Linked DNA regions of Mus musculus. The protein of the gene in region 1 interacts with the protein of each later gene in a biochemical or structural test. Links are inferred from orthologs where the notes say so. Each region holds a gene or a part of one and is shown on either strand. Other genes may lie near its edges.

The links.
Region 2: the proteins of Jade1 (region 1) and Kat7 form a complex in vitro, tested with the Homo sapiens proteins (2 studies listed by BioGRID). The link is inferred for Mus musculus from reciprocal best matches to the Homo sapiens genes JADE1 and KAT7.

The regions. Positions count from the first base shown.
Region 1 is NC_000069.6:41,553,228-41,559,310, reverse strand, and holds the start of Jade1 (protein Jade-1), read right to left. Parts: upstream 3,578-6,083; 5' UTR 3,492-3,577; intron 1-3,491.
Region 2 is NC_000077.6:95,306,680-95,312,828, reverse strand, and holds the start of Kat7 (histone acetyltransferase KAT7), read left to right. Parts: upstream 1-2,582; 5' UTR 2,583-2,779; coding exon 2,780-2,794; intron 2,795-3,130; exon of another isoform or gene 3,131-3,271; coding exon of another isoform or gene 3,272-3,292; exon of another isoform or gene 3,293-3,451; intron 3,452-6,149. UniProt on the Homo sapiens protein: Catalytic subunit of histone acetyltransferase HBO1 complexes, which specifically mediate acetylation of histone H3 at 'Lys-14' (H3K14ac), thereby regulating various processes, such as gene transcription, protein ubiquitination, immune regulation, stem cell pluripotent and self-renewal maintenance and embryonic development.

The DNA of each region.
Region 1 (6,083 bases):
TTCTTAACAAATTAAGAACCATATTCTTCCACATTAAAATGGATTTTTAAACTAAAACTTGGATACTTGTATTTGTATTTGTGGTATAGAAATCATACAAATCATGTGTATAAAATTCTTAACAAATTAAGAACCATCTTTAGTTCCTGCATCATACCTAGGAGGAGAGATGGTAGGTTAAGGGATTGGACTAGAGTTCCCTAGCTGGCATAAGAGATGAGGTCACTACTCCTGAACAGCTTATGAAGCCTTCACATGGATGGTGACAGTTTTCAATCCACAGACTGACTAGTAACAATGCCCACCCAGGACTCTTGTGTTGGGATCAGTACCGACTACAGTCTCTTCCTCCACCCCAACATGATTCTTCCTTTTCTCTGTTGTCTTCTGCCAACTCTGTTGTGGTTTTGGTTGCCTTCATTCTGCCCTGCTTCATAGTTTTAACATAATGTGTCAAAGAGAGATTAAGTGTGAAGTGGGAGAAGATGTGAATAACTTAATCCAGCCAGGTGGACACGTCCAAGGCTGAGGATGTTCAAAGGAAGAAAAGCATCTATTATCTATAAATATCACAGGACTTTGAAAGTTTAGGAATACAAAGGAAATAAGCATTCAATCATAGACATAACTTTTGTAAACACTGCCACATTTCTATGTTTTCCCTGCCATTTTCCTGAAATTGGAATGAGGCCAAACATCACATCTTATAGCCATGCTTTTCACCTACAATATTCACTTCTGGTCAGGATTTTTCTTTTCAGATGGTGTGTATTATCTTTGGGTCTTTGGCCACCTCTGTTCAGATCTTTCTCTGCTGGACACTTCCCTCCCCGGCCATCATCGCTTGTAGAAATGTCTGGCGTTTTTATCACCAAGCTCAACTATCTGCCCATTAGTTAACTACCTTTAGAACTTCCACAACCTTCATGCCTTGCCCCACTTTTCTTTTTTTAAAGATTTATTTATTTATTATATGTAAGTACTGTCTTCAGACACACCAGAAGAGGGAGTCAGATCTCATTACGGATGGTTGTGAGCCACCATGTGCTTGCTGGGATTTGAACTCTGGACCTTCGGAAGAGCAGTCGGGTGCTCTTACCCACTGAGCCATCTCACCAGCCCGCCACTTTTCTTTTTATCTGAGAACCGACTCTAGCTTTTGATCCAGCTTTATCCAGATACTAGAAAAGATGTAGTTAAAAAGACGATCTCTAACCAACTTCATGGTCAGCAGCACTGAGGACTCGGTAGAAACCCATTCCTGTTGGCCCCATCTCAGACCTGAAGATTTTGAAAGTAAAATCCAACCACCTACATGGTCAAAACCTTTCAGTAATTCTAACCCAGTGGTGGCTCAAAAATCACTTTGTGAAACCCATGTGTGGTAGCATCCACCAATTATTTTTGCCCTTGAGAGGTTGAGGCACAGGGATCTTGAGCTGGGAGGCAGCCCGGCCTACACAGAAAGAAGCGCTTGTGTAATTCCTGTCCCCTCCCCTCACATTCCAAGTGCTTTCTCAACCGGTTGGTCTACTCCCAGAAAATGGCGCGCTCCTCGGCATTCACTAACCCCAACCTTACTCGTGATAGAACCTGGGGCCATGCCTACGTTAAACAAGCAAGCATTCTACCTCTGGACTACATTCACATGTTTTTATATTTGCTTTTGAAACAGGGTCTCATTATGTCCACGTGGGTCTGTAGTTCAGGCCCGGAATTTACAATCCTGCCTCGGCCTCTCCAGAGGCTGAGATTATAGGACTAGGCCATAACAGTCAGACAAACACACTTTCTGAACCCCGGAACTTGAGGGTGAAAAATGAAGGCCTGACCAGGCGGGGATTGGGTCGGAGGCCCCTGCAAGTTACTAGGTCAGAGATGAAGGAGGTCTGGCGTGGAATCGGTCATAGTTGGGAGGCCGCAGGCAAACCAGCCTAGATAAAGGCGTGGCCAGCTGCTCCGACAAGATCAGTTCCTCCCTCCTGGTCCCTGGAAGAGACAGTGGGAGGCCCCACATGCAGAGGGATCCTGGGTCATGGCTAGGGTGCACACAGGGAAAAGCAGAGAAGAGCAGGGCCCAATCAGAGAGACCTCCAGGTAGTGGGCCCCTCCTCCCACAGACCAGGATTCCAAGGGGCCTGCTGGGGTCCATTTTAGTAGTCACCCCTAAGAGCTCTCTTAGGCCGTTACCAGAGAGCTCCACTTTCTCCTTTTCTTCCACATTATACTTCAATGGTATGAGCCTACTTCCTTAGCAAATGAGAAAAACAATACAGATTTTCTTTCTCCTGAAGAAGAACTAACTAGGAGTTAGGAGATAAAAGCTTTGAGGATAGCTAGGTCCACCACTTACTTGAATGTTTGTGAAGCGAAGGATCCCAAGTCTTGGTATGACGGCCACACAATTCACTCACTTTTTTCTGGGGTGGTGTGTGTGTGTGTGTGTGTGTGTGTGTGTGTGTGTGTGTGTGTTTAAGAGAGAGGCGGGAGGTGAAGGGGGAGGGGAAAGTGAGGGAGAGAGAGAGGGAGGAGGAAGAGGGAGGGAGGGGGGAGGGAGGGGGGAGGGGAGGGGGAGCGAGGGAGGGGGGAGGGGAGGGGGAGCGAGGGAGGGGGGAGCGAGGGAGGGGGGCAGGGGAGCTCCATCACGCACGTGCTTGCCTTCCTGAGCCATCTTGAGGGAAGACGCCCAGAACTTCCAGAATTCAAATTCTTTCCCGTGTTTGAAAGATACTGACTTCTAAGCTAAGGACAAGTGAGATGGATAAACCAGGCTCTTTACAGGCCTCCATTCTTCTGCAGAAAGGTCCCCACATGACTCCAACCTAGACCTCTAGACATCCAAGATACACAGAAAATACACAGGACGGGAGAGGAAGGGTATTGGATCAAGAGCTGGGCTTCAGGTCCTAGGTTCGAAGTTACCGCAGAGATTAACAGGTTGTGGGAAGCGGAGGAATGAAATAATTTGAAAGAATTAAGAATCCAGGGCTAGATTCAGCAGAATGAGCCGCTAAGCGTTATGGCTTTCCTGACGGAGTCTTTTGGGGTAGTTCCAAGATGGCTGAATCTGGAGTGGAAGCAGAGCTAGAGAAGCATGGGACAGGGGTGTAGCCCACTTGGTAGGGTGCTTGCCTAACAGGCCCCAAAGCCATCGCATGGCGCAGACCAGTCCCGCAGACCAGTCCCGTAAACTCACGCCTGCAATCCCAGTGCTCAGGGCCACCGAAGCTCCAATCCATCCCAACGTCAATGCTTTTTCCCTCCAGCTTGGACTACCAAAGATCTGGTCTCAAAATGGTGGGCGCCAAGGGAAAGGAAGGCAAAAAAAGGGCGGGAAGGAAAGCCCAGACCAGGGCGGACCGGCTTGAGATTTACGCTCACTGGTTCCAGGATATTATCCCCCCTACCTCAACTAATCCTGGAAGCCTCTGCCCTTCCCTCACCAGTGTCCCCCTTCTCCCCGAGACCTATCTCCAAGGTGGACCACCTACCTCAGCACTTTGAGTAGAGCCCCGAGTTTCCTCAGAGGTAGCAGGCGAGCGGACAAGGATGTCTTCTGCCTTCTAGAACCCAAAGAGCAGGTGATCTTCCGGGCAGGCTCTTTAGTCTGGTCTTGGGCATCACGTCACGGTGGGAGGAGCCGACCTTTCCACACGCCACAGCACCCACCCGCCCACCCCCAGGCTCTGACGCCCCTCCCAGCCTGCCTTTACCCCCGCCCGGCTGGCGCCTGGCCTGGCTGGCTGGCCACCGACTGCTTCCGGATACTTTTGAACACGACGACGTGGAGCAGAACGGCTCCAGAAGTTCTCCTCTCTCCATTTTGCGTACACCCACACTTTTTGAAAGACCAGTGGGTCACCCGCAGACAGATAATAAGACTGAGCTCACTTAGGGTTACTACTGCTGCGACAAAACTCCATGAACCCCCCCCCCTCCGCGCGCGCGCGCGCCCAAAAATAAAAATAAATAAAAAACAAGTTGGTGAGGACAGGATTTATTTGGTTTACAAGACCAAAATACTGTTTGTCCATCAAAGGAAGTCAGGACAAGAACTCAAACAGGGCAGGAGCAGAAGCAGAGGCCATGGAGAGAAGAAGTACTACGTAGTAGCGACTTGCTCGCTCAGCCTTCCACCCGCAAGTAGGCTGGGCCCGCCCCCATGGACCACTAACTGAGAAAATGCCTGTCTTGAAAAACCAAAAAAAAATGAAAAGAAAAGAAGGAGAAAGAGAAAGGAAAACGCCTTATAGCTGGATTTCAGGGCTACATTTCCTCAACGGATGCTCCTTCTTCTGTGATCATTCTAGCATGTGTTAGAAGTTGGCACACATTGTCCCAGCCAATACAACATTCTTCTAGGTAAAGGCTGGGACAGCCTCTTATCCTTAGATTGTTGGATCTCACCAAATTTGATACTGTTGTTCAGTCATACTCGTGCCTATCTTTTTAGATTTAATTTTGCTGTCTATGCTATGTAGTTCTTAAAAAAATAATTTTTATTATTATTTATTCTTTTTCCAGACAGAGTGCGCATGTGCCACAGCAGGCACGTGGCGGTCAGAGGACAATGTGCTGAAGTTGGTTCTTTCCTTTATCACGCGGGGCCTGACTTGGCAGAAAGTGCTTTTATCTGCTGAAGCATCTCCCTGGTTCGTTCCCCCCTTTCTTGAAATGTAGTCACCTGACTTCCACAACACGGACATTCTTCTGTTTCCTTCCCTACCTCTCCCTGCTGATTGTTTGCCCAAGCCTCACACATGACCAGTGTGGCATTTGGGAAAGAATCTAAAGAAGGAGTGAGTAATTTTAGTTGAGAAATTTTATAAGAAAAAAAGAATGTTTGGCTCACATGATTGATAATGGACACAAGAAAGATAAGGAAAGAAAACATCTGGTTGAAGATTATTAAGCTAGTCCGTCAGCCGGGCAGGTAACCCTGGCTTCCCAGAAGGAGCTGTAAATTACATCACACAAAAAAACACTCTGTCCCGGACCGGACCGAGTTTGAGCCCATTTTCTTTCTGATTCGTATAGATGTCAGTTTCCTTTAGGATTCTACCCGAAGTCATTCCCCATTATTAGTGAGATGTCCCAGGATCCTCCAAGCCAGGCGCATATGCACCCTTCAAGTTATACCTTGTTTGTTTAGTTTTCTAATCTTTAAGGTTTTGGGGGATTGTTTATTTGTTTGTTTGTTTGTTTGTTTGTTTTAAGGTTTATTTTGTAGCTCTTGTTGTTCTAGAACTCACTATGTAGACCAAGCTGGCCTTGAACTCACAGACATCGGCCTGCCCTACCTCCTGAGCACCCAGATTAAAGGCTGTGACACTGTATTCACTTTGTATTTTCAGCGGCTTCTTAAACACCACATCCAAGCTCAGCCTCCTCTAAGCAGGATTAATCTCCCTCCCACTTCATGACTCTTCCTGTCTTCTCCCACTCAGTTGGTGATACTACTATCTGAAGATTTGAGGCGGAATGAAAGGACATGGGAACGTGGGGGAGAGAGTAGGAAAAGAACTCTTTCCCTTGGAATTTAGTTGAAGACTCCTGAGAGCAGAGAAACTCCTGGCCAAGGGAACAGAATTGCAGTTGGCCTGGTTTCAGTTCATCCTAGGACCACCCCTACAAGATAGCTCACCCTAAACCATGAAAAGAGGTCAGGGGAGTAATAATAATAATAATAATAATAATAATAATAATAATAATAATAAGTCCTTTAATAAGAAACTTACACTTTCCTTCCCAGCATTCCCTACAGCCACATAAGGGTGATGTCTGGCCACTGTTCTGAATTATTCAAATTATTTATTAAAACATAACTTTACTTCTTTTTCTCTCTTAGCATACTTCCTTTAACACTGCGGGCTTTCCCCATACAACATTTAGAGTTCTTGACTCCCTCTCTAAAACTTACCTCCTCACGGCTGGGCTGCTCATCAGCCACGTGTCTGACCTCCCTGACAGCTTCAATGACACAGCTCTTTCCCCCTCTCTCCTCCCTCTCCTCCATCCTTCTCCAGGCAGCTGCTGAGGTTTACAGCTTGCTTGTGCAGGGGGGGGGGGGGTGTCTTTTATTA
Region 2 (6,149 bases), on another chromosome or scaffold:
AGCTGAAGTGAGCTAAATAGATAGAAGTGACCACTGACACCACAGGAAAATACCAAACAGTAGGATGCTATAGTCATGATTAGAGAGACTGCAAACAAACAAAGAGCCATACATCAAGCACTTACTCTATCTCAGGAACTTGCTGAGTCTTTCAAAACACTCATTTCTTTTATTCTTTCCAACCACTTAGTCAGCTGGTCATTAGCACAAACACTTTAAGATGAGAAACTTAGGTCAATTTAAAAACCCATCCAAGGGGGCTGGTGAGATGGCTCAGTGGGTAAGAGCACCCGACTGCTCTTCCGAAGGTCCAGAGTTCAAATCCCGGCAACCACATGGTGGCTCACAACCATCCGCAACAAGATCTGACTCCCTCTTCTGGAGTTGTCTGAAGACAGCTACAGTGTACTTACATATATTAGTAAATAAATCTTAAAAAAAAAAAACCCATCCAAGAGCAACACAGAGAGAAAAAAAAAAAGACAGAGCTGATCTGCATCTGACATCAAAGCCTTGTACTCAATTCTAGTGAAGCTGATAATGAGGAGTAGGGACTGTGTTCCTATTGGCTGGGAAATGGAGGGGGGACATATCTACCAACGTTTGAAAATATGCAGTAGTTTCTGAAAAATAATGTCACCATGTTTTATTACCTTACAAACAGTAAATCAGGAAAGTCTTTCTGAAGACAGAAAAGAAATTACAGGGGGTTGGAAGATGAATCCGGTCTAGGCTGACCTAGAACCATGTAGCTGAAAACCTTAAACTGAATCAAGCTTTTGATTCAAGGACTGGGAGTACAGATGTGTGTCACCACAAGCCAACTTAAAAGGATATTATTCAAATATAAGAGGCTGTTAGCACTAGTTAGGGAGTTAGAACATTCCAGAGTAGCCCCAGGAACATATCCTTACGTGAAAAGAACAGTGATAGAATGGATTAAACACGAGAGAGCTAAAATAATACAAAGGAAAATATCTGAGCCCTTTTCAAGCAAGTTTTTATGTGCAAATCAACTCACAAAGATTGTTAAAAGGTATTTATACTAAGTACTAAAAGCAAAATACCGAATGCTAATGGCGTCAACAATGGCTTAAGCTATTCCCCACCCCCAGCCCCAGGGAATGTGGGCTAAGGGTCTGGAATTTTTTTAACTCCGAAGAGTCCTCTGTTTAGCATGTCAATCAGGTTTGTATTCTGTTCTTAAAGCCTCTCTCCAGGTTAGCCAGCCTCAAATGGAAATTCTGATAGGGGCCTGTGGGGGTTCAGGGGATAAAAGCACTTGCTCTTTCAGCAAGCTGGATGACCCGAGTTTGATCCCAGAGACACCACAAAGGTGGAAGTTAGGAATCTATTCCCCAAAGTTGTCCTCTGAGCACTCACCTGGTCATGAGTGCGTGCTCAGCTCACACACACACACACACACAAATCTGGAACCAGAATTCTATCTTGGTAATTACTGAGGTTGCTTTGATTCCAGCAAGTCACTCTTGGTTCACCTTGGTTCTTTCAAGTCCTCTGAGGCTAAAACTTCAAGGCCTACAAACCACTTTCCAGACTTTTCTTTTTCGAGACAGGATCTAGCCTGGAACTGGCCATGTAGACCAGGCTGGCCGTAAGCTCATGATTTGGATCTGCCTGCTTCAAAAAGCATGCACCCCCACCCCCACCCCCCCACCTGGTTCCAGACTTTTCGTATAGCTCTTTCTTCTAGTCTTAATTTCTTCTTCTTATGGCCTTTTATTATTACTTGAATACCCACTCCCTTTCTAGTGTCTTTCAAAATACTATTTCTCTCTCCACTCAGTTCTTGGCTCTTGCATTTGTGCTACAGAGGTCACACGGGCTGAATGAGGTTCAACACTTCTCCGACTTTTGGTACAGCACCCTCACATTCAAACCACGTCCTCCGCCCCTCTCCGGGCCACCCAAAGATCTCAAACCAAAGCAGAGCACTGATAAGCCGGGGGCGTTTCACAACAGAGATAAACTGGAAATTCTTTGGCGCTCCGGCATCCTGAGAATGGCTCTGCATCATCTCATAACTTACTTCTTGTTCTCTTAACGCAAGGACAAGGCATAAAGAGAACACTCTACCCCACTTCAAGACCGACAACGACCCTGTCAATCCTTTATTCAAGCCCCATTCACACCACTCCGGAACACGGAATAGCTCTTACAGCAGTTCCTTGGGCAAAATATCTCTTGCCAGTTCGGAGTTTACAGAATGAACGGAAACGTCCTTCGGCCGACTAGGAAATGAAAGAGTTAAAGATCGACAACCTGATGGATTCTGGGGTTTTCCTCCCTCCACGCCACAAATTAAAACGACGAGGAAGGAAGAGTTTGCCCAATGTAAAGATGAAAACGGTTACCTTCAACTGCCAGACTTCTGCCCCAAACAATCATGGCTACCTAATCCCACACGAATGCCGCCTACCTAACTAAAAAGGTCTAGCCGAAGGTTTCACCACTGGTGCCGTCTCCTGCCCAATTCCAAAATGGCGCTGACTGGCCTCACTAAGAGTTTCGAGCTTCCCATGATCCTCACTGGCCTAAAGGTCAGGTGACGCAAGCCTCAGCCGGAAGTTAAGGAATAGGCGCTTCCAGCCCGCGGCGCTTGCGCAGAAGGCTCTAGACGCTGAGAGGTAGGAGGCACTTGGGATCGTCCGCAGGGTTTGGGACAGCTACAGAGGCCGCCACGGAGCCCGCCGGAGCCCCCGTTCCTGCTGGTGCTGCCGCCGCCCGAATCGGAACCGTCGGGCTGCAGCCGCCGGCAATGCCGCGAAGGAAGGTGAGAAATGGCAGAGAAGGGATGGCGGGTTTCTAAGGGGAGTCGATTGAGTAACGTGACGCGGTTGGCCACGCCTCGTCGTGCTTGGGTTCCAACTTTCTGGTCCCCCGAACCTAGCCTAGCTACTCTGTCTCCTCTCGGTACCAGACAGAAAAATGTGGGCCCGACCCTGGCCTCGGCCTATGCCTGTAACTATTCCCGCCCTCTGCTTGCCCGGATCGGAGGCGTTCTTGTTAATTGGTCGCGGAAATGTCTAGAAGCGTATTGATTGGATGGTGACGCCGCCTGTTTGGGCCCAACGGTCACCTCCCCGCGTGCGTGGGCGGTGTCTCGGTCTGGCCCCGGTGCTCTCCGACTGGCTGTGGCGAATGCTCTCCCTTCTCTTTATTGGCCCAGCTTTGCAGTCTGTTCTTGTGGCGGGTGCGGCTTAGCAAGGCCTGGATTGGGGCGACCAACGCCCCGCCCTTCCGGATAGAGATGGCGATAGGTGTTGTAAAGGCGAGTTGGGAAGACCACTTTCCTTTCCTGGTGGGGGGATTACAACAAAGCCGAGGATGGGTGGTTAGAAAGCCAGCGCCCACCCCCAAGGGATAGCTCGCAGGCCTGTTGCGTCTCAGTCACCGTCTTCCACCTATTTGTTCAGTTTGACATTTCCTGGTCAGTAAATGTTTGTTGAACTGTATGACATTTGCCCCATATGTTCAGTCGTAAAATGCAAAGAGCAGTGTTACGTGCTAGTTGCTAGGAATTCGAAAAGTATGCGTGATCACTGGCTTAAAGGGTTATCGCTGTTGAGAGAAGAACACAAAGAACCATAGTTCATACAGTCTCTGCTTGAAATTGTATACACTGTAAGAAAGCCGTTAACGTGGGAAATAAGTAAAGAGCTGATTTTCAGGGTTAAGCCAGGCAGAATTGATAGGTCATGGACGGGTGTCAGGGTCTTTGGCTGAGATGACCCTAAAGTTTGCCTTTTAGTGACATTCTGTGCCTCTATTTACTTGTGGTCAGATTTTTGAATGAAATATTTGGATGGATAGACGGTTGGTATTCATATTTCTGCAGAGATCACTCTTCATGGAAGCTTTCCAAGTTAAATATTTACATTAATGTCTCTTGCAATGACCAGAGTTGACAGGTAGTATTTTTTTAAAAGATTAATTTATGTATTTTATGTATGTGAGTACACTGTAGCTGTACAGATGGTTGTGAGCCTTCATGTGGTTGTTGGGAATTGAATTTTTAGGACCTCTGCTCACTCAGGCCCAAAGATTTATTTATTATTATACATGAGTACATTGTAGCTGAGTTTAGACGCACCAGAAGAGGGCACAGGTGTTTGTGAGCCACCATGTGGTTGCTGGGATTTGAACTCAGAACCCTCGGTAGAGCAGTCAGTGCTCTTAACCTGCTGAGCCATCTCATCAGCTCGACAGGTAGTATTTATATCCAGGCATACCAAATACAAGAGACAGACCTACTGGTTTGTTGGAATGATCTAGTCTCCTTTTAGCAGTTTCCAAATGTAAAAGTGGAGAATGTAAATTCTTCCTGGATGTTATGGTACAAGCCTTTAATTCCAGCACTTGGGAGGTGGATCTCTATAGTTTGAGGTACACATGGCTGATATGCTGGGGTGTCCTGACTCAAAAAGAAGAAGAAAATGTAAGTTCTTGCTGGGTATAGTGATACACACCTGTAGTTCTGGCATCCTGGAGGCTGAGGCAGGAGGCTCATCTTGAGCTTAAGGCAAACCTGGGTTATATAATAAATTCCAGGCCAGCCTGAGCTAAATAGCAAGAACCTATCTCAAAACCAACAAAACCCAAATGTAAATATGTTGGTAACTTGGTTGATGGCCAATCTGTCCTAATCTATCCTTAGGTTATTTAGTTTTTTTATATGCCTCATGTAGTGTGATACTAAATTTCTGTTTGCTAGAAAATATTAATGTTTTTAGTGTGGGTTGTTAATCACAGGATATATGTGTCCTCTGTAAGAATCTAGTAACTCCAAACATACTTGGCCCCAGGGAGCTTATTCTTTGAATAAAGCGTTGGGGCCTGGGACTAAGCTATAGCTCAGTGGGGTGTGGTTACTGCCGGGAAGCCCTGAGTTCAGTCCTTCGTCTGTCCCACTCCCTTTTCCTGCCAAAGATAGTAGGACTGAGTTTGAGGAGTTGTAGTGATTTCAGCAAGTACTCTTTGTCCAGCTTAGAAAAGAGCACGTGTCAGTGCTTACTAGGTAAAGTAATCTTCATGGCTCATCACCCTTCCAGAGGCCGAGAGTTATGGCTAGGGTGTGGCATGCGTTTTTCTGAGAACCTGACACGTGGGGCTGCAGGGATTGTTCAGCTGGTCAGAGTACTCATTGCTCTTGTAGAGGACTGGGTTCCAAGCACCTTGTTTCAAGCCTCACAACCGCTTATGACTCCAGTCCCAGGTGACTGGACAACCTCCCTTGACCTCCGAGGGCGTGTATGAGATCAATATACAGGCAAAACTTTCACACATACAGTAAAATAAATCTAATTTTTAAAAAGCCCGGTTTGAATACCTATTTAGTTTTTAGTATAAATTCCTTTCCAGCAGCACTTATAACATCCATGTGGAGAAACTTTGAGGACTGATGGTTAAGAAAATAATTTGTATCTTTTTTTTGGTTAATTTCTTTCAGTGGGTAAGAGCACCCGACTGCTCTTCCGAAGGTCCAGAGTTCAAATCCCAGCAACCACATGGTGGCTTACAACCATCCGTAACAAGATCTGACTCCCTCTTCTGGTGTGTCTGAAGACAGCTACAGTGTACTTACATATAATAATAAATAAATCTTAAAAAAAAAAAAAAGAGCTCCTAGAACTGGAGCTCCAGGTAGTTGTAAGCTGCCATGGATGTTGGGAATTGAACCCAGGTCCTCTGGAAGAGCAGCAAATGCTCTTAACCACCAAACCATCTCTCCAGCCCCAAGAACATACTTTGAAATGACCCCGGTCAGGGTTTCTCTGTAGCTCTGGCTGTCCTGGAACTCTGTTATGTAGACCAGGCTGCCCTGGACTCACAGAGATCTTCTTACTCCTAGGATTAATGGCATACACCACCATGCCCAGCTAATATAATTTTTATTATATTATAATATATAATATAATTTTTGTTGATGGAGAATTTGAATAAAATTTACCCCAAAGTTCAGTGAGGCCTAGCAATAACATTTTATATGCCATCTTGGACTTTTTCTTTTCCTTTTTTTTTTTTAAGGTTTAGTTGTACTATTTTAATTATCTGGATGTGTGTAGGGATGTGTGAGAACAGGTGCCTGCGGAGGCTGGAGGTATTTGGCTCCCTCTGGAGCGGGAGTT